Rattus norvegicus: one gene and its partners. The protein of the gene in region 1 purifies or fractionates together with the protein of each later gene. This does not show direct contact. Links are inferred from orthologs where the notes say so. Each region holds a gene or a part of one and is shown on either strand. Other genes may lie near its edges.

Evidence for each region.
Region 2: the proteins of Prkacb (region 1) and Akap9 purify together in Homo sapiens (affinity purification with mass spectrometry; 5 studies listed by BioGRID and IntAct, counting the BioPlex papers as one, with this or other methods). This does not show direct contact. The link is inferred for Rattus norvegicus from reciprocal best matches to the Homo sapiens genes PRKACB and AKAP9.
Region 3: the proteins of Prkacb (region 1) and Akap1 purify together in Homo sapiens (affinity purification with mass spectrometry; 4 studies listed by BioGRID and IntAct, counting the BioPlex papers as one, with this or other methods). This does not show direct contact. The link is inferred for Rattus norvegicus from reciprocal best matches to the Homo sapiens genes PRKACB and AKAP1.
Region 4: the proteins of Prkacb (region 1) and Vapa purify together in Homo sapiens (affinity purification with mass spectrometry; 4 studies listed by BioGRID and IntAct, counting the BioPlex papers as one, with this or other methods). This does not show direct contact. The link is inferred for Rattus norvegicus from reciprocal best matches to the Homo sapiens genes PRKACB and VAPA.
Region 5: the proteins of Prkacb (region 1) and Cdk5rap2 purify together in Homo sapiens (affinity purification with mass spectrometry; 4 studies listed by BioGRID and IntAct, counting the BioPlex papers as one, with this or other methods). This does not show direct contact. The link is inferred for Rattus norvegicus from reciprocal best matches to the Homo sapiens genes PRKACB and CDK5RAP2.
Region 6: the proteins of Prkacb (region 1) and Akap11 purify together in Homo sapiens (affinity purification with mass spectrometry; 5 studies listed by BioGRID and IntAct, counting the BioPlex papers as one, with this or other methods). This does not show direct contact. The link is inferred for Rattus norvegicus from reciprocal best matches to the Homo sapiens genes PRKACB and AKAP11.
Region 7: the proteins of Prkacb (region 1) and Akap7 purify together in Homo sapiens (affinity purification with mass spectrometry; 4 studies listed by BioGRID and IntAct, counting the BioPlex papers as one, with this or other methods). This does not show direct contact. The link is inferred for Rattus norvegicus from reciprocal best matches to the Homo sapiens genes PRKACB and AKAP7.

The regions. Positions count from the first base shown.
Region 1 is NC_086020.1:238,299,407-238,303,188, forward strand, and holds the end of Prkacb (cAMP-dependent protein kinase catalytic subunit beta), read right to left. Parts: intron 859-3,782; coding exon 733-858; 3' UTR 721-732; downstream 1-720. UniProt on the Homo sapiens protein: Mediates cAMP-dependent signaling triggered by receptor binding to GPCRs.
Region 2 is NC_086022.1:31,112,509-31,116,445, reverse strand, and holds part of Akap9 (A-kinase anchor protein 9), read left to right. Parts: coding exon 1-1,749; intron 1,750-3,877; coding exon of another isoform or gene 3,878-3,937. UniProt on the Homo sapiens protein: Scaffolding protein that assembles several protein kinases and phosphatases on the centrosome and Golgi apparatus. Required to maintain the integrity of the Golgi apparatus. Required for microtubule nucleation at the cis-side of the Golgi apparatus.
Region 3 is NC_086028.1:74,148,483-74,153,028, reverse strand, and holds the start of Akap1 (A-kinase anchor protein 1, mitochondrial), read left to right. Parts: upstream 1-1,662; 5' UTR 1,663-1,855; intron 1,856-4,546.
Region 4 is NC_086027.1:112,624,137-112,627,794, forward strand, and holds the end of Vapa (vesicle-associated membrane protein-associated protein A), read right to left. Parts: intron 2,944-3,658; coding exon 2,770-2,943; intron 1,438-2,769; coding exon 1,279-1,437; 3' UTR 655-1,278; downstream 1-654. UniProt on the Homo sapiens protein: Endoplasmic reticulum (ER)-anchored protein that mediates the formation of contact sites between the ER and endosomes via interaction with FFAT motif-containing proteins such as STARD3 or WDR44.
Region 5 is NC_086023.1:88,972,698-88,977,265, forward strand, and holds the start of Cdk5rap2 (CDK5 regulatory subunit-associated protein 2), read right to left. Parts: upstream 3,201-4,568; 5' UTR 3,045-3,200; coding exon 2,986-3,044; intron 1-2,985. UniProt on the Homo sapiens protein: Potential regulator of CDK5 activity via its interaction with CDK5R1. Negative regulator of centriole disengagement (licensing) which maintains centriole engagement and cohesion. Involved in regulation of mitotic spindle orientation.
Region 6 is NC_086033.1:60,337,559-60,341,495, forward strand, and holds part of Akap11 (A-kinase anchor protein 11), read right to left. Parts: coding exon 1,324-3,937; intron 1,139-1,323; coding exon of another isoform or gene 1,129-1,138; exon of another isoform or gene 1,109-1,128; coding exon of another isoform or gene 1,096-1,108; exon of another isoform or gene 1,055-1,095; intron 1-1,054. UniProt on the Homo sapiens protein: Binds to type II regulatory subunits of protein kinase A and anchors/targets them.
Region 7 is NC_086019.1:21,913,136-21,917,072, reverse strand, and holds part of Akap7 (A-kinase anchor protein 7 isoforms delta and gamma), read right to left. Parts: intron 1,237-3,937; coding exon 1,105-1,236; intron 1-1,104. UniProt on the Homo sapiens protein: Probably targets cAMP-dependent protein kinase (PKA) to the cellular membrane or cytoskeletal structures.

The DNA of each region.
Region 1 (3,782 bases):
GCCTCTCTCCTAACCCACAGAGATGTTGGTACCAAGGGAGACAGCTGGGGCCAGGAGCCATGTCCCGCACTTTCCTGACAAATGAGGCATCTGTCTGGTCACTTATCGTCTCACGGAGAGAAGACTATTACCGAGGGGAACGAAGCCTCTTGTCCAGGAACCCTCACTGCTCGTCTAGGTGCTCTGATTTACTGCTACGTCAGTGACCCCTGAAAAGTTATCTTCATTTATGCAAATTCCCGTGCTGATAAGACATTCCACCTTCAAATTACTAAGAGTTTTGGCAAAACTGAGTCCAAGCTACTCAAAATAAAAATAATCATTAGAGAGTTTATCTTCAAGCCACTGGTCAGCAAAAATATCGCTCAAAACTACAAAAAGCAACATGTAGCTTCCTTTTTAAATACCAAACAGCCATAACACTGCCCATGTGAAACACCAAGAAAATAAAGGGAGCACTGGTCAGAGAGGTGAATGAGAAGGATGTAGGAGGGTGGAGACAACAACCAAACCAGGAACCTGGTGCACACTGTGTCACGGCACAGACAATGCTGCGGAGCGCTGCCTTGGTACACAGGCGGTTGCAGAGCGCACACTGATGACGCAAGAAAGACCTCACGGTTGCTGGAATGAAGGGATTGGAACCCGCTCCAACAAGCAGGTCTCGGCTCCATCTTCTACCTCCACAGCGTGCAAGGACTGAGTGTGAGCTCCAGGCAATCCTTCTCCTCCCTAAAATTCACAAAACTCCTTTCCACATTTTTCTGTTATAGACACTCGGATTTCTTCTTCTTCATAGTCATCGAAGTTGCTGGTATCGCCAGAGCCTCTGAATTTTGGTATGAATGGAGCCTCAACCTGTAATGACATCAGGAGGAAAATAAGAGGAAGAACAACTCCTAGACACTTCCAAACACCCAGAGCAATGGAGTCCCCGCATCTTTAAACACAGGCAGTGCTTGAAGCGCCATCCACTAGAAGTCAGCTAGAACCTCACGTCGTGGGGAACTGCAGCAAAGTACGAGCGCAGCTCCCGGTCAGGGAGGCATCGGATCGCCGGCCCAGCTAGAAAACGACTTTCCATTTTATTTTACTTTTATCAATTCATTTCCAAAGCTTTCATTTTTTTCTTCAACTTCCTTTCTTCTAAGGTTAACACATTTTATACTTTCAATGTCTTTTCTAATTTCTAAGCATACTTAAAACCTCTGACTATGAAAAGTCTAAGTTAGAGACATCTCACAGAATCACAGAACTCAACTTCTAAACATTTTCCTTTTTTTTTTTTTTTGACTCTGAAAAGAAAGTCTTTCCATCTAATCTCACTTACCCCATGCCTACGATGTGTGAGGAAAAGCGTTAAGAGCTGACATGACTGCAGGCGGCATTACCCCACAGCCATCAATTGGGTTTATAATCACACACTGTCTGTCTGTCTGTCCCGTCCCCCATGTCCACTTCCTCACACTGCAGGAAAGCCAAGGTGGCCATTTTCACTCCTGTTTTAAAGATTATAGCACAGAGCTGACCAAATTTATATCAGTAATAAATGACTAAAGCAGGTCGCAAACACTCAAGGGCTTATTCTTCTGCATACAGCAGTGATCTCATTAAGTACTTTCTAGCACATCACCGCATGGATAGCTATTGTTTCCATGACTACATCAATAGATCCTAGGTTATAAACATGATAGACACATGAAAAGAAGGAGGTTACAAGTAAGCATGAACAGAGATTCTAATGCTCTCTCTGTTTTCCAGGTGGTGCCTGGCACTGTGGCCTGGGACGGCCATTTTGTCCTACACAGACTGAGCCAAGCACACAAGTGCTTCATTTCTGGCCAGATGGTGGTTTAGAATCAGCCCATAGCCTGAGTTGTCCAGACCACTTCTTTATCCTGGGCTTTCTTTCTCTAGGTACATCTGCTATTTCACTGTTCATAAACAGTGGCCGGGGAATAAGGCTGTGAACACCTAGCTAGACTGTCTTACTTTTGCACTGCACTGTGGACAAGTGAGAAGACACCGAAACCAAAGTCTACGCTAAGGTGGTTTTTACTTCTGGTCACGTTCATGCTCCTCACACCCACTTCACGGTACCCGAGATTTAACTATGCAGCAGTGTGCTTCGCAGGATGGCCTGGCCTGTCAGCAGGGCCGCTGCTGGGCAGTCAGTGTCTGCTGACTGGGATGAGTCATGAACTCTAGATAAGCAGGAGTAATTCAGTTCTATCACAATTTTAGAAAGACCATTAACAATTCACTATGTGATACAGATAATTAATATGTTTGCTGAGTACCAGCAGAAAATTTTACTTAAAAATATTAGGATGAAAAGATTCAAAATATACCATAACTTTTGGTTTTTTGAGACAGGGTTTTTCTGGTAGTCTTGCCTATTCTGGAACTCACTCTATAGACCAAGGTTGGCCTTGAATTCAGAGATCGGCCTGGTTTTCCTCACAATCCTAGCACTCAGGGGGCAAAGACAGGAGGATCTCAGTGAGTTCAAGGCCAGTATGTTCTACAGAGTGAGTTTCCTGACGGCCAAAGCTATACAGACAGACAAACGACCCTCCCTCAAACTAACAGCCACAGCACGTGTCACAGAAATATAAACTTAAGTACAGCACTGACTCAAATAAACACAATAATGAGATGGTGAAACAATGGTGAGGACCAGCAGGCATAGCTTCTCAGAACAGCGTCAGTTTCTAAAATGAGTGATACAGTAAGTTGTTTTTTTTAAAGGAACAAATTTACAAGGGACAAATACAGATACCAAGTAATGGCAGAAAATAGTTGAATAAATATAGAAGCATGGTATGTTTAGAAATAGAGTCAAATGTATGATAGTTTAGTACTAGGGGCTAAACCAAGGTTACTCAATAATGCTGACAATAATGTAACAACAGGCTAATTATTGTACAACAATAAAGAAGAAACTAGATCTCTAAGCACAGGAAGGAAACAGGTGTCCAGCACCCTTTACGACGCTCCTGTGACGTGCACCTGTGAGGGCGTGTGCCAAGCAGCACCTGTGAGGGCGTGTGCCAAGCAGCACCTGTGAGGGAAGACTGACGCTCAGCACTCAGGTCATGGCGGACTGAAGAAATGAGGACTAAGGAAGGAGCTGGAAGACACCCAGTGTCAACACCGGTCCTGTCTGTGTGGGCAGAGCCTACACTTGTCTCCTCACCAAGTTCTCCAGATTGGAACCAGGACCTACTGATCTAGTCTTTCTCAACATTCCTTGCTCCCTTTTGAATTCTCTCCCTCACCCCACACTTCTGAGTAATAAAGCTTATGTCTACGTAGTTTGACCATGTGCTCAAGATCATACTGTAACTCACTGTTGGTCTGACTCAGGCTTACAGCTACCTAGGTCCAGAGTTGATGGTTTTGGCATCTCCCATCCCTCCTTCTCCTTTCTCCTCCCTCCCTCCCTCTCTCTCTCTCTCTCTTTCCCTCCCTCTCCTTTTTCCTTCCTATTGAAATAGCCTCCCCCTCTCCCAAATTCTCAAAGCTACAAGTTAAACAGGTGCCCTGTAAAGTCCAAACTGTTTATGAAATATGATATCAATACTCTGTACCTTCCTATAATCCCAGTACCTGGGAAGCCAAGGTCAGAGGATTCCCCCCACCCCTGGCAGGGATGTTGAAGATAGATCTATGTAGTTGCAAACTAACTTCAGTTACAGAGTAAGAATCTGTCTCAAGTAAATGACCCCTACAAAACCCAGAAAGGGAAAAAAAAAAGAGGGGGCAGATTTTCAAACAGT
Region 2 (3,937 bases), on another chromosome or scaffold:
GAAAAACTCAAGGGAGAGCTCGGGGCAGCTCTGGGAGAAAAATCAGCTCTACAGAGTCAGTTTGAAGACCTGTTAGAAGAGGTCAGGTTTTTACGAGAGCAAGTGCAGAAGGCTAGACAGACAATAGCAGAACAGGAAAACAGACTGAGCGATGCGCGCAAGTCCCTGAGCACAGTGGAAGACTTAAAAGCTGAGATCGTTGCTGCCTCCGAGTCCAGAAAGGAGCTCGAGGTCAAGCACGAGGCTGAGATTACAAATTACAAAATAAAACTCGAAATGCTAGAAAAAGAAAAAAATGCCGTGCTAGACAGAATGGCGGAATCCCAAGAAGCAGAGTTGGAGAGGCTGAGGACACAGCTCCTCTTCAGCCACGAGGAAGAACTGTCCAAACTGAAAGAAGACTTAGAGGTCGAACATCGAATAAACGTTGAGAAGCTTAAAGATAATTTGGGCATCCACTACAAGCAGCAGATAGACGGCTTGCAAAATGAAATGAATAGGAAGATGGAGACTATGCAGTGCGAAACAGACAACCTGATAACTCGGCAGAATCAGCTAATTCTGGAAAACTCAAAGCTAAGAGATTTACAGGAACACCTCGTTAACTCAAAATCAGAAGAGATGAATCTTCAGATCAACGAGCTGCAAAAAGAGATTGAAATCCTCAGACGAGAAGAGAAGGAAAAAGGTAGCCTTGAACAGGAAGTCCAGGGGCTACAGCTTAAAACTGAACAACTGGAGAGACAACTGAAGGAGAAGGGAGATGACCTTCAAGAAAAATGTGCACAGCTGGACGCAGAGAACAGCGTTCTTAAAGATGAGAAGAAAGCCCTTGAAGACATGTTGAAAATGTACACTCCTCTGGACCAAGAGGATCCCAGCACACGCAAGTCGGAAGACCCGAGGTGGCAAAAGGAAGTAGGGATGCTGAGGAAGGAGAACGAGGACCTTCAGCAGCAATGCCTTCATCTAAGCGAAGAGATCGAGAAGCAGAAGAATACCTTTGCGTTTGCTGAGAAGAACTTTGAAGTTAACTATCAGGAGTTACAGAGGGAGTATACTTGTCTTCTCAAGATAAGAGACGACTTAGAAGACACACTAGCTAAGCAGGCCTTGCAGTATGAAAGTAAGCTGAGCGCGCTGGAGGAAGAGCTCCATTCGCAAAGAGGAAGTCCGACCACGCCACCGAAGGGGGAGAATTCTGGGTTTGCTGCCAACAGAACTTTCCCATTGGAGCCGCTGGAAGTCGGCGAAGTTGTAGAAAAAGATACAACAGAGCTTATGGAGAAGCTGGAAGTGACCAGGCGAGAGAAGTTGGAGCTCTCAGAGAAAGTCTCTGGTCTTTCTGAACAACTAAAGCAGACACATGGTACGATTGATTCTCTAAGTGAAGAGGTCAGAGCCTTAAAGCAGGAGAAGGAACAGCTTTTATTGAGATGTGGAGAGCTAGAACTCCTCACTAATGCTAATGGGACAGAAAATGCATCCGTCTGCCCTGTGCAGAGGAGTCCTTACCAAGCTGGGCCTGTGATGGGGACGGTCAGGGATTCTCAGGGACCTATTTCTAAAGTCAGCGAAGATTTGGCTGAAGAATCAAAACCAATGACAGAAGATAAAATTCCCTTTAAAGAAAGTGGGAGAGAACCGTTGCTTTTGCCAACAAGAACAAAAAAACCATCTCGAGTGACAGTTGAACCATGTGAAAGTGAAAAACTCCAGCAAGAGCTTTATGCCCTCAAAGCCGAGCAGGTATGTCCATGTGCTCTCAGAATCACAGGGAAACACAGATTCACACACAAGCAGCCCACTTCCAGGAAGCAGATCCACGCCCTCACTGGGAGGGAAGGTGAACCCTGGCATGGGGCTCTCAGTTTCTGTCAGTCAGGTGTCAGTTTACCTAAACACTGTTGCCTCTCTTTCAATTAATCTCTTATGCTGATCAGAAAATAAGCTAGGGTAATCCTTTTTACATCCTTTTCTCCTTCTTAAAGAGAGAAGTTACTGTTGGGAGACTTGGTCTCATTTTATATCATAATCACTTTGCTTTAGTATCCATTATTTAGAGCATTTCATACTGATGTCCTCTAGTATGAAATTTCAAGTTTTCAGTTAGAATCCCACAATTGTAAAGCAAAGCAAAACAAAAATCCTAAGTTTTCTGCTGCTCTGAATTACTCAGTGCTCATGGAATCATATTTCTGGGCGCTGAGGCTTAAGGCCTAGAGTTTTTGAGTCTTGATACCTGAGTGAGGAAAAAAAATACCGTTAACTCTTCAATATAAGGCAAGGTCTTAAAAATGCATATAATAAATATTCTAGATTCATTCTGCTGCTGTGGTAAAGCTGACCAGAAGCTGTTGTTGTAAAATTATATAAAAAATACTGTCTTTTACCCTGCACTAGATCTGTCACTGTAGATATCTGTGATATGTGATATCTGATAGAAATCTTCATCTCAGTCAGCAAAGCCTCTCACCCGCTCTGCTCCATCCCATGTCAATGGCCTGTCTCTGAGCCTGGCCTCAATCCCTCTACACATTCAGTTCCCGAGGCGGGCTGCCACCATGCAGAAGTATAGATCCTAATTCCGTGGTGGCTCGGTGTTCCAGCTGCCGCATACGCTCTTAAACTTAGTTCGTCACAAGAAAGAACACACAATAGCCTTTGATCTAATCAATAAGATATAATTGCCCACCTAAACATACAAAGCCCTGTACACATCCATCCCTCAAGGACATTCATAACAACCTGTAGATGTGCAGAGTGGAACCTTGGGAGAGGAAAGGATTACAGGTGGTTCAGACTTCCAGGTCACAGTCCAGAAGTGAGGTCAGAAGCTCAATCATAAAACCACACAGGAATGACCCACAACATAGCATTTTATCACCATCCCATTGGCAAAATAACTGACTTACTGATACGGATCTAAGGACGTAAGCATCCACATTTATCTTAGTTCAATTATATAAAATATTATTTGGCTACTAAAGCTGGGCCTGTGCATCAGCTCTGACCAGCAGTTACGTTCCTGACGGCAGCGACACTTGGAAACAGGCAGAACGAGTATTTCTTAAGCTTCCTGAACCAGGTCAGAGGGCAGACACCATGGACTCGTGTCAGCAAGAGCTGCAGATGAGTCTGATGCATCCTGGACGCTCACTCGCCAAGCGTTCACCCACTTGTCGTAGGTGCTTATCTGTAATAATTAACCACCTTTTGATTTAAAGGACCCAAGCTTGCGAAAGTCTAGTTGGTCTCCACCAAGGGAAGTGCTCCAGTTGTGGATTGTTCATTTATGCTGCCCTGCAATCAAAATGAATGAGCCTGTCGCATACACGCATTGATGTCAGAAGCATTTTTATTGATATTTTTATATTTGATAGAAAAAATGCAAAGGAATTTACAAAATGAGTGCCTTTGCATCAGTACACAGAAATACACACTATAATGTGCTGTTTACGTGTATTGGGGAAATGATAGTAGACACATTTCAGATTTTTTTGGTAACAGTTCCTTGTGAGCAAGAAATAATCAAACATCATGAATTTAATTTTGTCTCTAATGTTTTCTTTCTTATTTTAAGGAGCTTTAGATAGATAGAAGAAAAAAATGACAAGACATTGGGATTTATTAATTTGAGTTTTGAGTACATTGGTATTTATTTACATTATTTTCATTTTGTAGCTGTGAAACATTATTTAAGAGATTCTTGCTAGCTATACCAACCTATTTACCATCACACTGAGTTAATCAATAGAAACATGATACTGTCTTTCTTGAGCAAGACAAGCGGTTTGGTGCATCTGGAAGAGGTCTCTAAAGCAGACCAGCTCCTCCACACGAGTTTGAAAACTGTGACGTGTTTTCTCCTTTGAAGTTCAGTCCATGTAGAGAAATCGAATCCGAGCTGCTACTTCAGCTTTTCCTCATGCTTACG
Region 3 (4,546 bases), on another chromosome or scaffold:
CCTCTACCTCTTTTTTTTTTTCTTTTCTTTTTTTCGGAGCTGGGGACCAAACCCAGGGCTAGGCAAGTGCTCTACCACTGAGCTAAATCCCCAACCCCCTCCCTCTACCTCTTACACCCCAGAGTCACTGAGCAATGATGGGCCATTAGTTCAGGCCAGTATCTCATCTCCAATGACAATGAGGTTTCTTGTTTGTTCCCTTCTGCCACGGTCAGTCACTAATCCACTATTATTTACAGAACAGGTATTATTGGACTTAAGTTTGACCGGCCGGGTGGTGGTGGAGAGAAGGCTTCATGGCAAGGGCACCATCAAATGTTCCAGAGGACCAGAATTCGGTTCCCAGCCTCCACATGGAGGCTTTAAACTGCTCTGTAACTCTAGTTCCACAGGATCCAACATCCTCTTCTGGCTTTCCCAAGCACCAGGCACTCGAGTGGTGAATGAATGTCTGTGTGTAGTCAACACTCATACGCATAAAAATAATCTTTAAAAACAATTTGGGGGGTTTACTTTGAGATAGGATCTCAACTTGGGTAGCCTGGGGTGACTTGAAATTGTGGTAATCTTCTTCCCTCAGCTTCCCAAGTGCTGCCTCAGGAAATAAATGAGTGAAACAGTAGATACATGAAATTATATTTACCACTCAGTAAGCATACAGTCTCCTTTTAAAACATAAATTCACATTTAATCACCAGTGAAGATTTTCCCAAGTAATGGTTCGTTCGTGGTATGGCATCTTTTCTATATTTTGTACAAAAATATGCGTTGAAAGTGCTATGTAATGCTAACACTCCGGGGAGGTGAAGGCAGGAGGATCAGGAGTTCAAGGTCAGCTTCGAACTTGACAGTTTGAGAGTTTGAGGCCGGTGTAGGTTACATGAGACACAATCTCAGAATATCAAAATAAACAAGAAACTAAAGTGCCTAGGTTTTAAGGATCAGAGCAGGGCTGGTTAGCAAGTGGAACCTCCTTCCTATCCAATTGTCTGATGATAGTTTTATTTTCTCATGTTGTTGGGAGGAGGCAGTGACTCATGGTGACCACTTCTTCGAAGGCAAACTTTGCAAAAACTCAAATCATTTAGAGAAAAGTCCTATCGACATCACTAAAGCTGCAAAAATGAGAAAGCAACTTGCCCTCGAGGGCTACACATTATCCATATTACTGATCAATTAATGGCCACCTAATATACTCGAAATGCTACGTTATACTAGCAAAGTTACGGGACAGCTCAATTCCTAGGTAAGAGGAACAATGTAACCTCGTCTCTCACCAGCCGCTCCTGCCTTTTCCATGGGACGCACCATCCCAAGGCAGGAACCTGCCTGATACCTCTCCGTCCCGGAGAAGAAGAGCTCTCAAGCGAGCCAAGTTCATTGTGCCTAGCGCTCAGACATGGGTAACCCACCCCAGCCCTTGTGGGACGTAGGATCATCTCCCACGCCTGCCGTGACTATAGTTACTCTCGCGAGAGCGCCAGCAAGGCGGGCCCGAGCGGCGCCGGGATATCAGCGGAGCGCTCCAGACCGCGCCCCTCTTGGCGCAGATAGGAGAGAGGCGCGCGCAAGTCGGGGGAGGGAGCGGCTGGTGGCGCGCACGCGCAGGAGAGCGAGCGGGCGAGGGGGGCACGCCAGGGGGCCGAGGGCGAGGGGCGGGGCCTTGCGTCGCGCCGCGGGCACGTCGTTGCGCGTCCTCAGTATTTAATGTCTCTGTGTTCGCCCGGCCTGGGCTAGCACGTGGGGGAGCGGCCGAAGCGCCTTGCAGCGCTGCGGGGCAGGGCCGCTGGGCTAGGTGGGGGGCCCGGGGGCGGTGGCGGGAGGACTGTGCGCCTAGACGGTCGCCCCGGAGCAGGTAAGTGACGGCTGGCGCGGGCATCCTCCTGCCGGGCCCGGAGGGAGAACGAGTTGGGGTGATGGGGAGCCTGGGGTGCAGGTGCAGAGGGCGACGCGTGCGTCAGGTACTCCGGCGACGGAGAGTCCTGTGCACGGCGCCTGCTGTCAAGCGGTCCGGTATGAGCCTTGGTGACCCGCGCGCCCCCCCTGCTCCTTCCCTGTCCGGCGATTTGCCCGCGGGCTGCTACTGACAGATCGCGTGCGCTGAGCCTGGGGCGCTGCTTTGAGCCGCTGCTTTCCCCTCCCATCCCCCTCATGTCACTGGCCTCTGGGATGGAGATGAGGGCGCAATTCCCCGGGCGCTTCGGTGAGCCTCAACTTTCCCGGTGCCGGCTCACCCTTCTGGGTAGCGAGCCCGAGCGCGTCCCACCCAAGGTCGTCCAGCCTCGCTAGCGTTTACTTTTCAAAGGTCGTGTGTACCCAGTTTGAGCATGGAGAGGAGGCAGCGGGGCTGTCTCTGCCCAGGACCCGGTGCCCAAGGCGGGAGAGGAGGTCCTTGGGAACCCCTGTACTTCCTAACTTCCTAACTGCTGGGCCCAGTTCACTCGCTCTGGGTTTGCCCGGCAGTGGCACAATTCCTGGATTCAGTGCCGCGAATTATTGGAGGACTGTTGCAGCGGGGAGAACGGGATGCGAGACAGGTCCCAAACCTTTTGGCGGTGAAGGGACCATAAGACCAATTAGGACCGGAGGTCGAGGGCTTGGGTGTCCGAAAGGGGATTAGAGTTTGTGGCCCCATAAGCGCGTCCCAAAAGGTGGAAGACCTCTAGCTAGAGGTGTCCGCTGACCTCTGGCGGGGGTGGGGAGGTCCAGGGTCACGTGTCGCCTTCCACCTTTCTTCCCGCCCCAGGACAGTGATCTGGAGGGACTTTGCAAGGGGTCATGGGGGGGGGGGACTTTGCCACGATTGTAGGTAAAAACCTGCGTGTAGAGAAGCCTCCGTACGCGTCAAGGAGCCTACATTCTGGTGTCAACTACTCCCTTGTCCTATCTTTTCCTGTTTCCTTTCTGCGGGTGGGAAGGTGCTAATAGTATTGGGCTGTGCAGAAGAGACTTCCGAGAAACCCTGTGTTAACCCGGACCTTTCTTCTCTGGGAAATGCCTCGAGCGACTAGTACCTTTCTACCCTTGGGCTGTGCTTAACACAAACCCGGTGGACTTCGCTCCAGGTGCGAGTGGAGGCTCCTCAAACCGGTAAGGTAGGGTGTATGTGTAGGGCAATTAGTGAGGTTAAACTGCCTATCTTTCTTTCCACTACTGAAGTTGAGGCTGCTTGGGGTTTAAATGTAACGCCTGCAGTGAAATCGGGGTTGCCGCACCTAGTGTAACCTTCTCTGTCGATTTGCTATTGCTTCCGGAAACCAATAATCAGACGCGCTCCTCTAAGTGCGAAATCCTTCCCCAATTAGTAACCTTGGGGTTTTTGGTTTTGTTTTAAACGCTTTAGAAAATCGAGGCTTAGATCCTTAGGGGTTCCTACCCGTTTCTCTCTTAAAGCCACAAAGCATCTATAAACTCGATGAAGGAGTCGCTCTCGAGTCAGAGTCTTCTCTGATTGGCATTTAAATGGCTCACCTTCAGATTATTTAGGAGTCTTGCAGAGCCCAAGGGTTAGGTTTTTGACAGCTTTTTGCTGTTGAGCTTTCTTTTACTTCTAACCTGTTTTGTAGGTTCTGGGTAATTCCTGGGTGTCGTCTTGTGAATGGCCTTGGGTTAGAGGACATTCTCCTACCCTATGGGCGTGTGTGCAAATCACTAAAGCTTCCGGTCAGTTTGCTAAATCAGAAGGCTTTGTTCTGTAGAGGGGGCCGGTGGGTGAGACCTGATGGAAATCTAGTGAGTTTGTCTACCCGGGGTTCTCCCATCTCCCAGATAATTGTAGGAGTCTCATTCTCACTTGACCACTGCAGGGTGACAGCAAAGATACACAGGTATCAGTTGTACGATGCCTGCTCAGATGCTGAAGGCAGTGTGTCAGGTTTGCAGAGCCTCAGTACTTTAAAGCAATCTGTCTTTGCTACCTTACCAGGTACCCAGATTATTTGTGGAGCTGGCCATAGCTAGTTTGCGGAATAAGGTAGTTTTAGCTTCCGGTTTTCCTTTTCTCATCCTAAACATGGATGGAGATTGGGACTATCCCTGGTATAGGGTAGGCACTTAAGTATGGCGTCCCTCACTCCCAAGGAATCCCTGTCAAATGTCTCTCGGTCATTTGATTAAATATAAAAGCACTCCCTCCCCTAGCCTCTGACCTAGTAACTTGGTTAGAAGGAAAAGGAAGACAAATTGGTTTACCCTCACTTTGCCACCTAGCCTCCTGGGTCAGCATGTCTTGATCGCACCGGCATTTTAAGGCATCGGAGCTCATGTGCCCGGGGAGCTGCCCTGTTTTCCCTGGCTACTCCTTCCTAATGTTCCTTGTGAGTTTGACATGCCTGGACCTCTCTGCGGCTCAGTTTTCTTTCCTGTCTGTAGGAAGTTTGTATCTGGCGTTTTTCTTTGAATAGTAATCCTAGGAACTTTATTATGGGGAGATGCCTGGGTTCTGTGGGCTCCATGTGCCATGGATATCATAATGTTTGAGAGTTACTAATCTCTACAGTGGGGTGTGTTAAGTCCTAAATCTGGCTTCATAGGGCAAATTCTGTTT
Region 4 (3,658 bases), on another chromosome or scaffold:
GTTTTGCTAATACTAATTTCCACAACAGAAAAACAATTCTTTTTAGCTATTATTAAGAAACACATTAAAAAGTAGAATTATTTAATGTACTGAGTATTTGAAATACAGGAGAATTAGTCTTCCTTGAGAAAAGTTTAAAACAAAACCTGGCAAGAATGGAGTCAGCTGAACAGGATTCAGTCAGCTGGCACGCAGGAGACATCACGATTACAGCACTGTTACATTTCATAAATTCAATTAAGATGTTCCAAAATCCCCGTTAGCTTTAAATCTTGTCATTTCTTAAGGCAGCCTGAAGACTAAACTACACATAGCCACAGGGCTAGGAAGAGCCCACACAGGACAAAAGCGTGCAGTGCACAAGGCCCCACTCCTTTGCTGGCTGGTGGCAGCAGCGTGCACCTTCAATCCTCAGGCTCAGAAGGCAGAGGCAGGCGGATACCTGAGTTCAGGGCCAGCCTGGACTACAGAGTAAGTTCCAGGACAGTCAAGGATACACTGAGAAGCCCTATCTTGAAAAACCAGAGCAAGGCAAAGCAAGCAAACAGATAAATCAATAAAGTCCAATAAAATTAGTTCACTGCAGATTGAACTTCCTCACCCACCCCACCCTTACCCGACCCAGCACAAATGACATGACAGACACAAACCAGCTGTCGAGCAAGAATCTGTTAACAGTTTTATTTTTTATGTTAAATACCATGGGACAGGATTGTAAGGATGAAAAACTCAGTCAACAAACTGCCTCACAAGGGATAAGAAAATTCTGCCATGATATTAGCAAAGGTAAAGGAGAAAATTTACACAGTAAGAGGCACCATTTCCCCCACAGAAAACCTCTTGGCATTTCCTGAATGAGTGGGATTAGCAATCTAAATAAATCATATTTCAAGAGGTAACAGCAACAGATAAAATTTAAAGGGATTATTAAAATAACATTTACAAGACTGAACAATTCTTGAACTCTTATTAAAACCACAAAGAAAGAACAATTCTTTATTATGAATTTCATAAAGGACTGGATGTGCGACTGGCATCTGCTAGTGATGATCTGGTAATATACAATTTGTCCAGTAGCCGAACAGTTTGTTTTTATTGTGTTTTCTAACCGTAAGAGATCATTAAAGGCAAAGCCTATATGACGCTGTACACACAAAAAAAAATGGTCACCACGGGCCATGGTCACCGCGGGCCATACTACCAATGAAATGGTAGGTAAACAAATCTTTTTCTGGTCGAGAGAAAAGAAAAAAGAAACAGCACTCTGCATGCTTCACTCTACAAGATGAATTTCCCTAGAAAGAATCCAATGAAAATGGCTGCAATTACAACCAGAAGAGAAGGAAGAGGACTGGTGACATTATCTCTGAAGGACACGGCTGAGGTGGATCCAGGTTTATCCGAATGTGCTACCTTTCTGAGCCGTAGGCCTTCATCCTGGGGGAAACACAGAAAACAAAGATTTTAAGCAACAGCACACACAGGTGAGTAGTGGGGCTAATAGTTCATAAAGAGCGTGGAGGGCTAGGAATAGGGGCAAGAATAAATTCCCATCTACCTTGGGCACCTGTGGAATTAGGAAAAACTCTAAAACTGAATTAAAGCAACTGCTGAATAATTCTATAAATCCGCCAAGACAATCAAAAGCGTTCATGTGATATGAATTACACTGCAATAACAATGACTATTAAAACACAAACTGAGAAATGTGTTCTGACAGAACATGTGTACTCACTCCACTAAGCTCCACGGCATTTTTAATTGGCCACAGCCATGGGCCAGAGGCTATCAATGCACCCTATACTCAACAACGTCAAAAGCCACATGGCAGACACAGGAGGAATCATTTTCATAGTCTTGATATGTGCAGAGCAAAACCTAGGAACATACGTAAGGGGGCCACCATGGAGCATAGACTAATGCAGACCACATACGGGAACCCTCTGAAGCCCCTGCCCAGACTGGAAATTGCTTCCTTGTGTTAAAGTACCTTATTTGCTTCCATGTAAAAGAATGAGCTGCCCCCTTCTCACTAAAACGGTTTCACACAGCACTAAGTTTAAGTTTCTGATAGTCCTATGATTTTAGGAGATGTGACTGCCTTGGCTTCTCCTAGGAAAGCAACAGTTTCTCAAGCAAGTGGTTGTTATGATAGTATGTGTCACCTGGTCCTGGGGAAATTACAGATACCTCTTAACTTTATCAGGTGCTGGTCATACAACCTAAGAAACTAGAGAATGTTTACTACCTCAGTATCAACCATTCTATCCTCACCCCATTCCTCAACCAGCACCCCAGCTTCATTACAGTTTAACTTACTGTTCTAACATTAGGAATGTGTGAAGTGACACACGTCATTATAGCTGTCCTGAGTCCTCATCTTCCCCAGGCTGGTGACATGTGCTATGATCCTCTCAGAGGATGCCCAAACTCTGGTGCTAATTAGCAATGCTAATGTGTTAAGCTAGGCTAGGCCATTCGATAGGCAGGTGCATTTTCAACTTAGAGAAAGAATATAATCCTATCAAATGTCAAAAAAAAAAAAAAATCTTAGAACACTAACTAAAGATACCTGGCCATTTTATTTCCATTACCAGATTTCAGAAACTTCATTTCTTTAATCTTGTATTAACTAGTTCCAAGTAATAAGAACAGTCAAACGAGTTCAATAACCAGCAACAGGACTAACTATGAACACAGAGAGGCTGAAGGACACCAGCGCACTCCTCATACCTCATCCAGTCACCTCATTTTCAACCAACAACTTACTCTCAGGTGTCGGTTTTCTTCTGAGAGCTTCATCATTTCTCCCTGAAGTCGCTTGCACTCTTCCATCAGTTTCCTTGTCTCCGTGTCATTGAGTGAAACACTATGTGGTTTTGGCAGGGGTCCATCTTGCTTGGATGCATTCAGTGGGACAGCTTTGCTAGGTTCCATGTCGTTCTGTATTTCAAAGATAAGGGAATCTTTAAGCAAAAAAGGTATAGATTTTTAACTAATAAAAATCTAAGTTCTACATCTTTTCTAAAAATATTATGAAAATATGACAGGTTTCAGTGAATTAAGATTTATTAAGTAGCAAATATGACCATCTGTAGAGGATTTTCAGGGGAGCATGTCAGTAAACACTAGCAGTTAACCACAGGAAGCAGTGCACTCCCTCTAATCCACAGCCCTGGCACTGACCTTACCATGACACTTAAGGAGTCGCAATAACTCATCCTTTACACCCTTTACTCTAAATTTCAAGTGGAAGAAGAGTCACTTCTCTTTGTTATTCACCCCTAGACACACACTTTGGTCAAGAGCAGTCAGTGAAGGGACATAGGTTGGGTGAGAAGCTCCAGGTCATGTGTAATGGACAGGTTGTATGAGGGTCTGATTCTGCACTCAGATGAGGCTTAGAAAACTGGACGGTACAGGAACACCTCACAATCATTGCTGTAAATTGATAACTACCTAAGGACATACAGTCAAAAACAATCTAATGCCTATTAATGGAATACAGTACTAGAAGGTACAAACACTGGAAGGGAAACAATAAACAGATTACTACATGGGAAGCTATCTGTGGTCATAAACACAGATGATTACTCAAACTGTAAGACTGTCCAATTCGTGTGATATGTTGTAGTCTTCTATTTAAGTGGTAGGTTAA
Region 5 (4,568 bases), on another chromosome or scaffold:
GGTTTCTCTTCAAATAACAGAAATGTGCTAAACTGGATGGATGACAGTGATCTTGGCACACAGCTATAAACAGCTTATTTACATACAGCAGTTCACACTGAATGGACAAGCTTCATGGCATAGAAACTACATCTTCAAATATGTGAGAACATTCAGGTCAGAGGCACATACATCTTCAAATATGTGTGCACATTCAGGTCAGGGGCACATTTGAGTGTGGGCACACGTCCAAGGATGTTCACACATCTGGACCCGAGATGTTAACCTGGAGTCACTCCTCAGGAGCCATCTGCCTTGGCTGTTTTGTCTTGTCTTGTTTCGGGGCCCTTGGTTTCTCAGATTTAGGCTCGGCTGGCTAACTAGCCAGACCCAGGGATTCTCTGATCTCAGCTTCTCTAGCATGCATCACCATGTCTAGCACTTTTTTGTGGGTTCTGAGGATCAAACTCAGGTCTTTTACAAGGCAAATACTTTGCTAACTAAGGACTCATGGTTCTCCTAAAGCTTCCCAGTATAAGAATACCTTGGATCCAAGTTAGCCCTCTCCCTCATCTGATTTCACCCTTCCATCCTCTCTCCAGACTGTTTCTTCTGGCATACATGATGGTGAAAATCAAACTATGCTTATGGCTAAACATGTTCTTCCAGTCTGCTCCTAACACAGTAGCAAGCACTTATTGGCCATGTGCTAGAGCAACTCGATATTCAATAAGCTTGGGTCAGGTACACCCTGACCTAATGCAACAAAAATTCAAGGACAAACTGTGCTCAGTTTAGGCTATAAACATGAGGCTTGCAAATTCCCCTGAGAAGGGTGCTCAGAAAGCAGTATATTAAAATGAAAAGTATGATTTCATCATAGGAACTATCGTCTCCTACTGTGGTCACCTAATGAGGACTCATCCAGCCCAGAATAGCCCAGAAGGGCCAGTTCAAAGCCAGAAGCTCTGCAAGAGCCCCTTGGATACTCAGTTCAATTAGTTCAGACTAGTCAGAAGGCAGAACAGACTTTGGATTCAGGAAGCTTGGAGTTAAGTCTGATTTATCACAGACTTTTCTGTGACCCAAGACCATTCATTTCAGCTGAGCTTCAGGATCCCACATGTAACAGGGGGAGAGAAGCAGCCCCTCAAAGAATCACTTTTCACTCAGTGATTTGACAAATGCCACTCTGCTCCTATTCTGCCCCAGACATTAGGCTAAGAACTGGGTTACAAACAAAATCTAGTTCCTGTTCTAAACCAGGACTCTAGCTCATCTGGTGAGTGTATGTTAACAACCAATACCTCCACCGCCCAACACACAACCATTAGGTATAGGTTGAAATGAAGTTTGCCCAAAGTGAGAAGCAATCCAAGTGTAAAAACTCACACCAGATTCAAAGACTAAGGAAGATTAAAAGATAAAAATATCTTATCACAAGTTTTCCTATGGATTTTGCTAAAATCACATACGGAAATATTAAGCTAAATAGCATACGCCATTATTTCACCTGCTTCCAATGGTGCTGCTGCTCAGTAGTAAAGCACTAGCTGAGGAGGTGTGAGAGGCCCTGGTACAACCTCCAGCACCACAAAGAAAGGAATTTCACTTGTTTCTTTTCTTAGTTTTTTTTTTTAATTGTGACTACCAGAAAGTTTTTAGTGTTGTTGTTTTGGTTTTTCGAGACAGGGTTTCTCTGTGTAAGGTTTCTTGGTTATCCTGGAACTTTCTCTATAGACCAGGCTGGCCTTAAAGTCTGAGATCCACCTGCCTCCACTTCGCGAATGCCGGGATTCAAGGCATATACTACCACACCCAGTTCACAAGAAAGTTTTTAATTAAATATACACCATAGGTTGTATTTCTACGCTGGTCACAGTCAACCAGGTTAGGACAGTGACAGGTAAGGGTAGCTAGAACATTACAGAAGGCCCAAGCAAGGGTGAGAATGTCAGTGTGGATTTCCTAGCAGTGGAACCTGGGTATCAATAAGGCAAAAGGCATAGGAAGGGCAACTGACACAGCAAGAACAGCACGTACATAGCCTGGCACCAAGAAACAATTCGGTAAGATCATTCCTGACAGAGCTTGGCAGTCAGGCACAGGGCTGAGGGCTTGGAGAAGACCCAGAGTTGGGAACCATAGATGGGGTGGGGGTGAGGCTAGAGAACAGATGCAGCCGATTAGAGAGAAACTTGGAAGCCACAGTACAGAACTTCATCCTGAAGATGGCAAGGCACCTGGAGGGCCTAGGGCAGGTTAAGAGATGAATGACCAGGAGTGAATGCAGCATCTGTCCAGTCAAGGCTGAGAGAGAAAGGAAAGGAGAGTATTAGCAGATCTACTAAGCTAGACTTGGGGTGGTTTAGTTCTCATGCCCACAACCCATTCTAAATGTCCAAAATAATCCAATTTCTGGTCCCAAGGGATCTGAATAGAAGACACAACTTGTAGTAGCAGTAGCAACGGTAGATTAGCATAGTATCATCCTTTTCAACACTGGTGTATGTCAGCCAGTACACCAGCCCAGAGAACTGGCTTTTCATTCTCATCTTGTTTTCAAAGCAGAAGTCAATTTACCAGGCTGGATTTGATAAATTCTGTCCATCTCCAACCAAGGCACTGTTGCCTCTGTCCTGGATGGCTACTGTGTGACCCTGTAAAAGTCTAAAATAACTACACTCCCCATAATGAATGCAAAGCCCCAAACAAGAATCAATCACCCACCAAGCGCTCTAAGGTCCAGTTCCAACCACCCCCTACTAATTAGTCCCATCTCCTCCCACTCTTTCAAAAAAGCCCCTTACTATCCTACACACCCTCTTCAAAGTGTACTCCAGAACACACAACATATAGTCGAACAGAGTGCTGGCTCCACACCCAGGTCCCACCACACTCGGGTGGCAGCAGAGACCGTCCCCAAGCAAACGGAAGGCCTCCAGGGTGTGACCCACTATAGAAACCCCCACCCAGTTACCACGAAGCCCAAAGCCAGGGCCACACCTGCAGCCGCTGAGGGTCCCAGGCAGGGTGACGTCCTCTTCCATCCCTGAGTCCATCATGAACACAAAGAGGTGGCACCGGTGTCTGCAGCAGCAGCGCCACTGGTTACCCCGCAGTCGCGGCGCGCTCGGTTCCCCAGGTCCCGCCCCCTCCAACCCAGCTCTTGTTCTCAGTCAAGCGGCGCCGCTGGAATTCAAACCGCAGCCGCCGCCATCTTTCCCGGCGCTTCTTCCTACGGAAACAAGGCGGGGTCATCCAGGCACGCACCGTGAAGCTTCCTAGCACAGACCCAAAACCGGGCAGGGAGAGTTTGAGTGGGCGCCATCTTAACTCAGGGCAGAACCTGTGCTCTTGAGCCTGCAATACTAGGAGAAAAGAAGCGGCAACCATGTTTTGTGTGTGAGGGCAATCGGGCCGAAGCCAAGAAGAGCGCCATATTTGTTGAGGGTAAAAGTCCGCCCGAATCAGTTAATTTAAGCGGGAGGTCAGACAGTTCAGAGTACCAGTCTCTTTGCTGCCATTCCAGACACATGACCCCGCAATCGCGCTTTGACTCTTTGTTCCCAAAAGGCTTCTTCCTTTAGTTGAAACGCAGATAATTGAGTTATGCCTCGATTTAGAAAAGTACCACCTGTGAAGCGCTATTACAAGCAGTGGTTTACAGCCGAGTTTGAAGCCGCATGCCTATAGATGTATCATCCATACTTCATGGGAATTTTGTCACTATTAGGACTCGTACATGAACAATCAGTAAACTGAGACCTAGAGAGATGAAATGACTTGCTCAAAGTAATAAGTTTACTATCCGTTAAAACCAGATCCTTAGCTCCTGGTATCAACATCTTAGCACTTTGGAACCATGTTTTAAACTTCTTGGCCAGGGAATATGTTTTAAGAAGAGACAGTTGTTCCCTTCCCAACAAAGGTTCTGACTGAATTGGGATTTCAGCTATTCCTGCCTTGAAACCCCTCCCACTCTCAGGACTTCTTCACTTTTCTTTAATCTACACAGGAATAAGGGGAGGGAAAAAGGGAGGGGAGGGAGAAGGGAACTGGAGGATGCTTGGATGTGGAACAGTTGTCCCTGGTAGTAAAAACAGTTCTTCTGTCATGACCCTTTGACTGGGCACTTTGGGCCAGACATCACTAGCTTCAGACCTTTGCCTGCTATATTCTGAGATCCTAGGGGAACAAGTGGGTGTCCATGACTGACAAGCTCAATTGTTGCTCCGTTAAAAAAAAAAAAAAAAAAAAGCTATCCTATAAGGTGTTGTAAGGATGACCTGAGATAACTTTAGAAATTCTTTCAATAGTAGTTCTCATTTCCCCACAACCCTAAACACACTTTCTTTCTTTACAAACTGGCAATAACGAATGATGTGCCCTAAATGGGGCACACAGACTATTAACCCCAAGTGTTCCGTTCTTTTTCCATCTTAAAACTTACAGTTCAGACATGAGATCTGTGATAGCTGGGGAGGAGGACCACTGAATAACCCCAATCCACGTTCATTTAAACAACCCTAATTAAACTCAGAGGGGAGGAAAAGAACATGAAAGCAGGGGTGCATAGGGACAAGAGA
Region 6 (3,937 bases), on another chromosome or scaffold:
TATAAGCTAGTCCCTCACAATGTCAACATTCTTACCTGCTATCCTCTGAGTAGTCATTCTACAGCAATACACACAGGCAGCCCCAGCCCTCTGCTTGGAACACAGTATCCCCCAGCTCTTGGAGAACACATTTTTTTTTCCTGTTTCAATTTATCTCCCTAAAATCTAAAATAAGCCCTGAACTGCCCTTCCCATTTTTAAGGAGCTTCTCACTTTGCATTTAAGATCTAACAACCGGGTTAGGTTTGGCATCCCAAACACAGGTATCTTACCACAACTTTATTTTATTTAACACTTTTTCTTGTTACCTGTCACATTTTTAAGAAAATGACTCACAGGAGGAGGCTAAAAGGAGGGTTTGTAATGACTGCTAGGTAACTGGACTCATGGTAATTAAAAATAAAGTATAGATCCATTATTGTTATAAAATTCCACTACCATATGCTTTCCTATTTGATATTCATATGGTACCCTGGTGAGCGTTATGGGTTTGTAATATCCTATTATAATATTCTACCATTATGATTACTTCCATTAATCAAACATTTATGAGAAAAGGAACATTAGTGAAACAATTCAGTTAACATTTTAGTGAATAATCTATTTGAACCAATCATTCTTCAATCTTAAATCATTTTAACTTTATAAAATATGAGGTAGAACTACATGCAACTGAAGGGACTCTGCAGAACTTACAGACTCCTGGCACAACGCTTAAAGGAGACATAGGAACAGAAATACAAAGAGAATCTGCGAATACCAGCCTGGATAAAAACAAGCTTAAAGAAGAATATAAGGTACATTACTGGCCAGGTCTAAGGAAGAAAACGAATAGTCTGAAGAATGAATAGCAACGTTATTTGCTGGGTCCTGGGAGTAAGGGCTTAGGAATGACCATCTAGTATCCTCTTCTAGAGCTGCTGTGAACAAGGAAGAATAAAAACCATGTGTGCCAAGTTGTTTCAACCATAGAAAGAGACATTAATCTCAAAGTAGTAAATATATCAGTCTGAATTCTTAAATAAAATTCACCAGTTTCTTTTATTCTATTTACCTGTTTCTTAGTTCTGTGAATTGATGTTATTGTCCTTTCTCTCATCTTCCAGCCCTGTAAATGAATAATTTCTCTCAAAAGGAACTGGGAAACAAAAATTTCAGATGAAAACCATGCACAGGATATGAAGCCACATACAAATGCAACAGAAAATTTTTGTTAAGTTAGAATGAAAATAAGTAGTCTTTTTATGAACAGAACCTAAAACTTATAGGGCAAAGTTAGCTTTTCATTCTATTGTAAGACTCCACAGAAAATTTGAAACCTACCTGCTAACAGCATGCCCGGCATTTGTCATAGCTGTGGTCATGATTTCTGTGGTAAGGCTCTCAGCAAAGCTAATGCCATCTTGTCCAATTCCACTATCAGCTGCCAAACTCGTATTGCTCAACTCTCTCTCTGCTTTTTCAATAGCTTCAGCGACTATCTTCTCTGCAAGCACCGCCCTCTTATCAAGATTAACATGAATTTGAGGAACATCAAGATGAAAAATTCTTGATTTCTGGCGGATGCTACTAAGTTTTGAATGTGAACTTGGCTTAGCACTAGCACAAGGACCCTGCTTTGAAAAGAGCTGAGCAGAATTTCTGATACAACCATGGGATTCCTTAAGGTCACAGTATCTGCAAGCTTCATTTATAAGTGGTGACAATTTTTCTGCATAAGTAATCCTATCTGGTGATGTTGTGGTCTCTGAATTAAGGAAAACTGCAGGTCCTAAGCTTAGCTCTAAAGTGTCACCCACTACTTTCCTAGCATACTGTTCTACAGTGTGAGCACTCTCTCCACAGCTATACCCACTTAAACTGCTTGTGTTCTGGCAAAGTCCATGGTTTTGTAAAGGTTGACACGACTTTGAAACTTCTGGTCCAGTAACATTCTCTCTGTTGTCAACACATTCAGATTTTTCAAAAAGACAACAGTCTGTTGAGGATTTTGGCAAGTCAACTTTAGGTGCTGTCAGCTGTTTCTTTACATCTCTTGTTATGCTGCTAGCAAGAGAGGCTGAAAACCTGTACAGTTCAGAAAGTTCGTTTCTACATGGATCCTGTGTCCTGTCACATGTCTGGTATTTGCAAGGATGGCTGCCATATTTTTTTCTTTGTCTTTTTTTATCTACTTCTTGGTGATGCTCTTTACTTGAGAACAACAGTTCCTTGTTTGTTTTCACATGAGAGGTGTGCATAGGGAAGAGTTTCAAACTGCACTTCACTTTTACTGTCTTAGCTGCTTCTCGTACTCCTGACTTGACAGAACGGTAGGCCAATCTACTGGCATACTGATCCATGATTAGCTCACTGTTGCCACCTTCCTGTTTCAGCACTTGAATAACGTGCCCAGCATATTCATCAGTCACACTTTCACAGCTGGGATACTTGTATGTCAGACCTGGCATGCAACTTGGTAATGAAAGAACACACGTTTCTACTTCTCTTGGATGTGCAATATCCTCCACATCCAGCTTCTCTTCTGCTTTACCTCGATCACCTTCAACATGACAAATGGTCCTCTCATGCCCGAAAAGCATACAACTTCTAGTGTTTGCAACTTTCTCGGCTTCTGCAATAACACCAGCTGCCATATCACTTGCAAAACTGCACGTCTGTATGCTTTCATCTAAGTGACTTAGAGCAGGCAGCATGCTTCTTTGACTTGGCACAGTTAAGTGAGAGTTTTGAACCTTGAATTCTTGAGTGATTTCATGATCTAAGTGGGAGGCTGCCACTTCAGTTGCAAGAGAAATGATGTGTGTAGCTAATGCGTCTGCAAACTGACCTTTTTTCCCTGAATGCTCTGACTTTACATCCATTTCTGGGTGCTCCTCACCTTCACTGCTCTCAACTTCTTCAGAAAGAGAGCGCATGAGTTTCAGCATGAACTCTTCCTTTTCTATAGTAGTTTGTTCATTCTCAGATAAACTACCAACGGATGAGTTGTGAGGTGTCGAAGGTGGTGTTGCGGGAGCAAATTCTTTGGCTAACTCCCCTTTGAGTTGTTTGGTTAACTTTTTGATGTCCCATTCAGAACTAGTCTGGGATGGTACTAAAGGTGTTGATGGGGGAGTATCAGGTATCACATTTCTGTCTCTGATTTTCTGCTTATCTTCCACATGCAAACTATCTACACAGGTAAGCACTGCAGATGATAAAGTCTGTGAGGGACGGAAAGAGCTTTCCTGTCCAAAAGACAAGGGCTCAAGCGCAGTATTAGTCAGATTGTGTCTTGTTACCACTTTATCCTTCATAACTCCCTTCAAGTCAGATTTCTGACTTGTCATCATTGAACAAGGTGGCAGTGCCTCTAAAGAAAATCCAAAACCCACAGAATCTTTACATTCTGGAACACAATACTGAGGTGAATTATCTGAAAAGTCAAGGAATTTGGGAGTTTCCCCCAAGGTCAACTGTGATTCTTCTCCAAGAACAAGCATGTGTTCCTTACTAACTGGTTTTTTATCTATATTTGGAAGGACTGACTTGCTTTTATCCAGGGAATGTTTAATAATAGACTTTGATAAATGCTCAGCAAACATGTCCTTACTGCTAGCTTTGTTCTGTTGTGGTGCTGCTTGGTCGCAAAGGGAAAAAGAACAGGCTTTTCCCTTTATTGTTTTAGTTAAATAATCTGCATTTGTATCAACAGGTTTTGTGGCTTTGAAGGATGTCATGGACTCTAAGGTTTCATTTACTATTGTATGTACCATTGCTGTGGAAAAGTTGCTAATAATCATAGAGCCACTCATTAATTTTGAAGGACTCTGCATGTCGATATCACCATTAGTTGGTTTGAAGTCATTCTGGCTGCAAGGACTGAGTTCTGAAGGTAGACAGGTGTTTTTAAAACAATCCACTTCCTCTGCACTGCTTTCCATGGCAATGTGCT
Region 7 (3,937 bases), on another chromosome or scaffold:
CAAGAAGGAAATTCAGGAATTGAAGCTGAAAACAGGGTTCTGTTTCTCCCCTTATCCCACAGGGCCCATGCACTAAACTGGAGCTTAGAATCTGAAAGTCATCTTCCCACAGAAGAAAGCTCCCATCCTGTTGTTTGAACGTAGGCTAACTCTCAGATAGGTTTAAAGCTCTTAACCCTTTTCAAAGAGTGGTATAAGAACAGATATCGGTAGACTGGCCTACACCCCATTTTACACGGGTAGATAGTATTGCTCTGATAAGAACGATACTAAATCCTGCTAAGGGCAAGAGGTGGAGTTGCAGGGCCAAGATCCTGCTTGCATAAAGGATCCCCCTTCCTGAGGCCCATCCTGAGCAGAAGCAGACATCCTTTTCAAAGCATGAAGAGAACAGAGCTCACGAACGCACCCCAGTCCTTCTCCCTCATGTACAGTGGTCATGGACCTCCTCAACCAATAGCCAGACTACAGAGGTTACTCACACCTACTGTAAGCTGCTCAGATATACTAAATATGAGTAAGACATGGACAGATCAGAAGCACCGACAGATGGACAGCGAACAGGTTTTATCTCCCGCTCCTGAATAACAGAAATCTGTCACACCTTGGTAGAGGTGACAGACATTACGTACAGTTCTGTTTTCACAATGACATGACATTTCTAGTTTGGCATTTCAACCAAGTAACTAATTCACAAAGTTCGTAGACGATGCTCTCAGGGGCTACAGAACTGAACTGATAATGCTTCTCTGGTTCACTGACGGAGAGATGGACCTGATCAATGCACGGCAAAGTGCCCATAAACACGCAAACGCCACTAACCGTTTATTACGTGAAGGGGTAGGCTCTGTAATCACAGGTGGTTCTAAAGGACTAAAGTGGGTTGTTGTAAACCACAGAACCATCTGCCAGGTAGTAACCACAGAATAATCTGGTCCACAATTTTGTGAGCGATGCCTTAATATTGTCTGCGACAGTTCTGACAACAAAGTACCAGATAACTGTTAGCACTCAAAAGCATGACACGCATGTAAAATGGAGGAAACGTATAACTAGATGCAGTGTCTGCGCTCCTAAATATCTGTGTTTTAACACAGTACTTACGTCCACAGTCATCTTGAATGTCTACGGCAGCAAACGGCAGGTCTGCCAGAGAACCTACAGGGCTGGTCTCCAGGTCCCCCGTCCCTTCCTCTCCTCTTGATAAATGATCACACTTATTGGCATCTATTTCTCCTGTAACAAACCAAAAACAGAAACACGTCTTACTGAATTGTTATTTGTTAAACTCCAACACGAAAACCAAGCCAACTCAGCTAGGTGAATTCAAGTCATAAGGAGAGGTTATTAAGCTCTCCTTTAACAGAGTCCTGGGTGTTTTTTGTTTTGCTTTGCCTTGGCTTGGTTTTTGCTGTTGTTGTTCTTGGGTGAGTGGGTTGGTTGACTGGTTGGTTGGTTGGTTTTGTTTTTTCAAGACAGGGTTTCTCTGTGTAAAAGTCCTAACTGTCCTAGGACAGTTCCTAGACTCTCTTTGTAGACCAGGCTGACCTTGACCTCGTAGAGCTCCACCTGCCTCTGCCTCCCCAGTGCTTGGTGGACATGGGCCACCATGCCCATGTTTGCTTGTTTTGTTTTTGGATAATCTTGTTTCTAACGGTGCATTTTTTTTTTATATTAAACAGTAAACTTCGAAGGCTTTAATCCTTTCCCAAAGGGTAGTGTTGGACATAGATGACAAATAGATCTTCCATCTTTTATTGATAAATTTTCTTAAATCTAAAAGCGGTCCTATTTTTTCACCTATTGACAACGAACTAGCAAAAGTTATTTGCTGACTTGTTTATTGTGTCTTCTCATGTCTATTTTCCATTATGTGGGGCATTTTAATATATTTTGTTTAATATTGTTTTGTTAGGATATATTAATTATATATAACATGTTTCATTGTTACTTTCATACAAGAACAGTATATTTTGATCATAGTCACATGCACACATGCACGTAAACACATGCACACACAGACATGCACATGAGCACGCGCACACACACACACACACACACACACACACACACATACTTCACCTCTTATCCCTTTTTCCTCCCACTCTGTGTTTTTTTTTTTTTTCTTTTCTTTTTTTCGGAGCTGGGGACCGAACCCAGGGCCTTGAGCTTGCTAGGCAAGTGCTCTACCACTGAGCTAAATCCCCAACCCCCAACTCTGTGTTTCTGATTTGCATGAGGTCTTGTACTTTTTCTCCACAAACTCTTCCACTCCATCATTACACTGGAAATATATTTAAAAAGACTTGACTCTTGGGACTAGCAAGACGGCTTCCTGGGTAAAGGCTTTTGCCATGAAAGTCTGGCAACCTGAGTTGGGCCTGCCAGAAACCATCCACAGGTGGACAGAACCAATTCTAATTGTTCTCTGACCTCCATACACAGATCACCCATGCATGCCTTCCCATACACACAATAACAAAAATTAAGTGTACGGCTCTAAAATGCATTTTTTTTAATTCAACTATGAGAAGCAAATCATCCTCGTGGTATTTTGTAACAGCCCTCCATGTCATGCCCTAAAAGCCACGTTTCACACTGGGCCTTTGTTTTCCTGTTATGGGAAGAACACCCACAATGCTGTAGGTGAACGACTAAGGAAAAGACCAGAACTGACAGTTAATCGCTAAGTGTATCTTTCGGTGGTCTCCATCAGCAGACATAAATGTTGTTTGTACTGAACAAAATCCTGGAATACTTACTTAATTTTCGGCCAGTATACCATTGAAGAGTGATTTGCCTTGCGGACTATTTTTAAAAAGTACCTCCTTCTGTCGTCACCCTCTATTTTCAAATGCTATGGCTGCAAAACACATTCCATGAGAATATGTAAATGGCTGGAGAGATGACTCAGGAGTTAAGAGCACTGGCTGCTCTTCCATCAAACCTGGGTTCAGTTCCCGGCACCCACATGGCTAACCGCATGTTTGTCAACTCCAGTTCCGGAGGGTTCAACACCTTCTTAGGACCCCCGAAGGCGGTGCAAACATCTGCTACACAGACATAACCCACAGGCCAAACAGCCATTCACACAGACTAAAATAAATCTTGAGGGGGAAAGGGGAGAAGGGGAACTGGGGGAGAGGAGCTGGGAAAGGGGGAGGAGTTGGGCGGTGGCCTACGAGGCTAGAGAGAAGGTTCGGTGGGTAACAGCACTTGTTGCTCCTTCCAGAGGTCCGGGGTCATTTCTAGGGTCAAATCCCAGCACCACATGGAGCAGCTTACCCACCACTGGGAGATTTAACATTCTCTTCTAGACTCTAGGCACCCACATGCTGCACCACACATACATTCAGGCATGTACACATACAGAAACACACACACACACACACACACACACACACACACACACACACACATGCACACAAAATAATAACAATAAATCTTTTTAAACTATGACTTACAGGGTACTGGGGAACACTCAGAAGTATTCTGCCTCATCGGAACAAGGTCCTAGTTTTAATCCCTAGCGCTGGACACACACAAACTAAAATCAAATGAACAAACAAAAACCTATAGCCTGAAAACTGGTACTGTTCAGACCTGTAATTCTAGCAATAGGGAGACTGAGGCAGGATGCTCTCAACTCCAGGTCTTTCTATGGCGTGGACTCAATGCCAGCATGGACACCATCAGTCCTAGTTTTAAAAGTATATCCTCTAACTCTTCTACCTTCTCCTCCTCCTCGCCGTTTAGCTTTCCGTGTGTAACACACACGCAGTTTGGACTTAAACAAAAGTTTAAAAAGATCAATATGTATCTCGAACCTTTACGATGCTATGTAAAGGGCCCTCACTCACCCGCAGCTTACACTCAGAAAACAAAACAGCACTTGTCAGCCAGGTGTGGGAGCACGTACAGGCTTCTAATGCTAGCA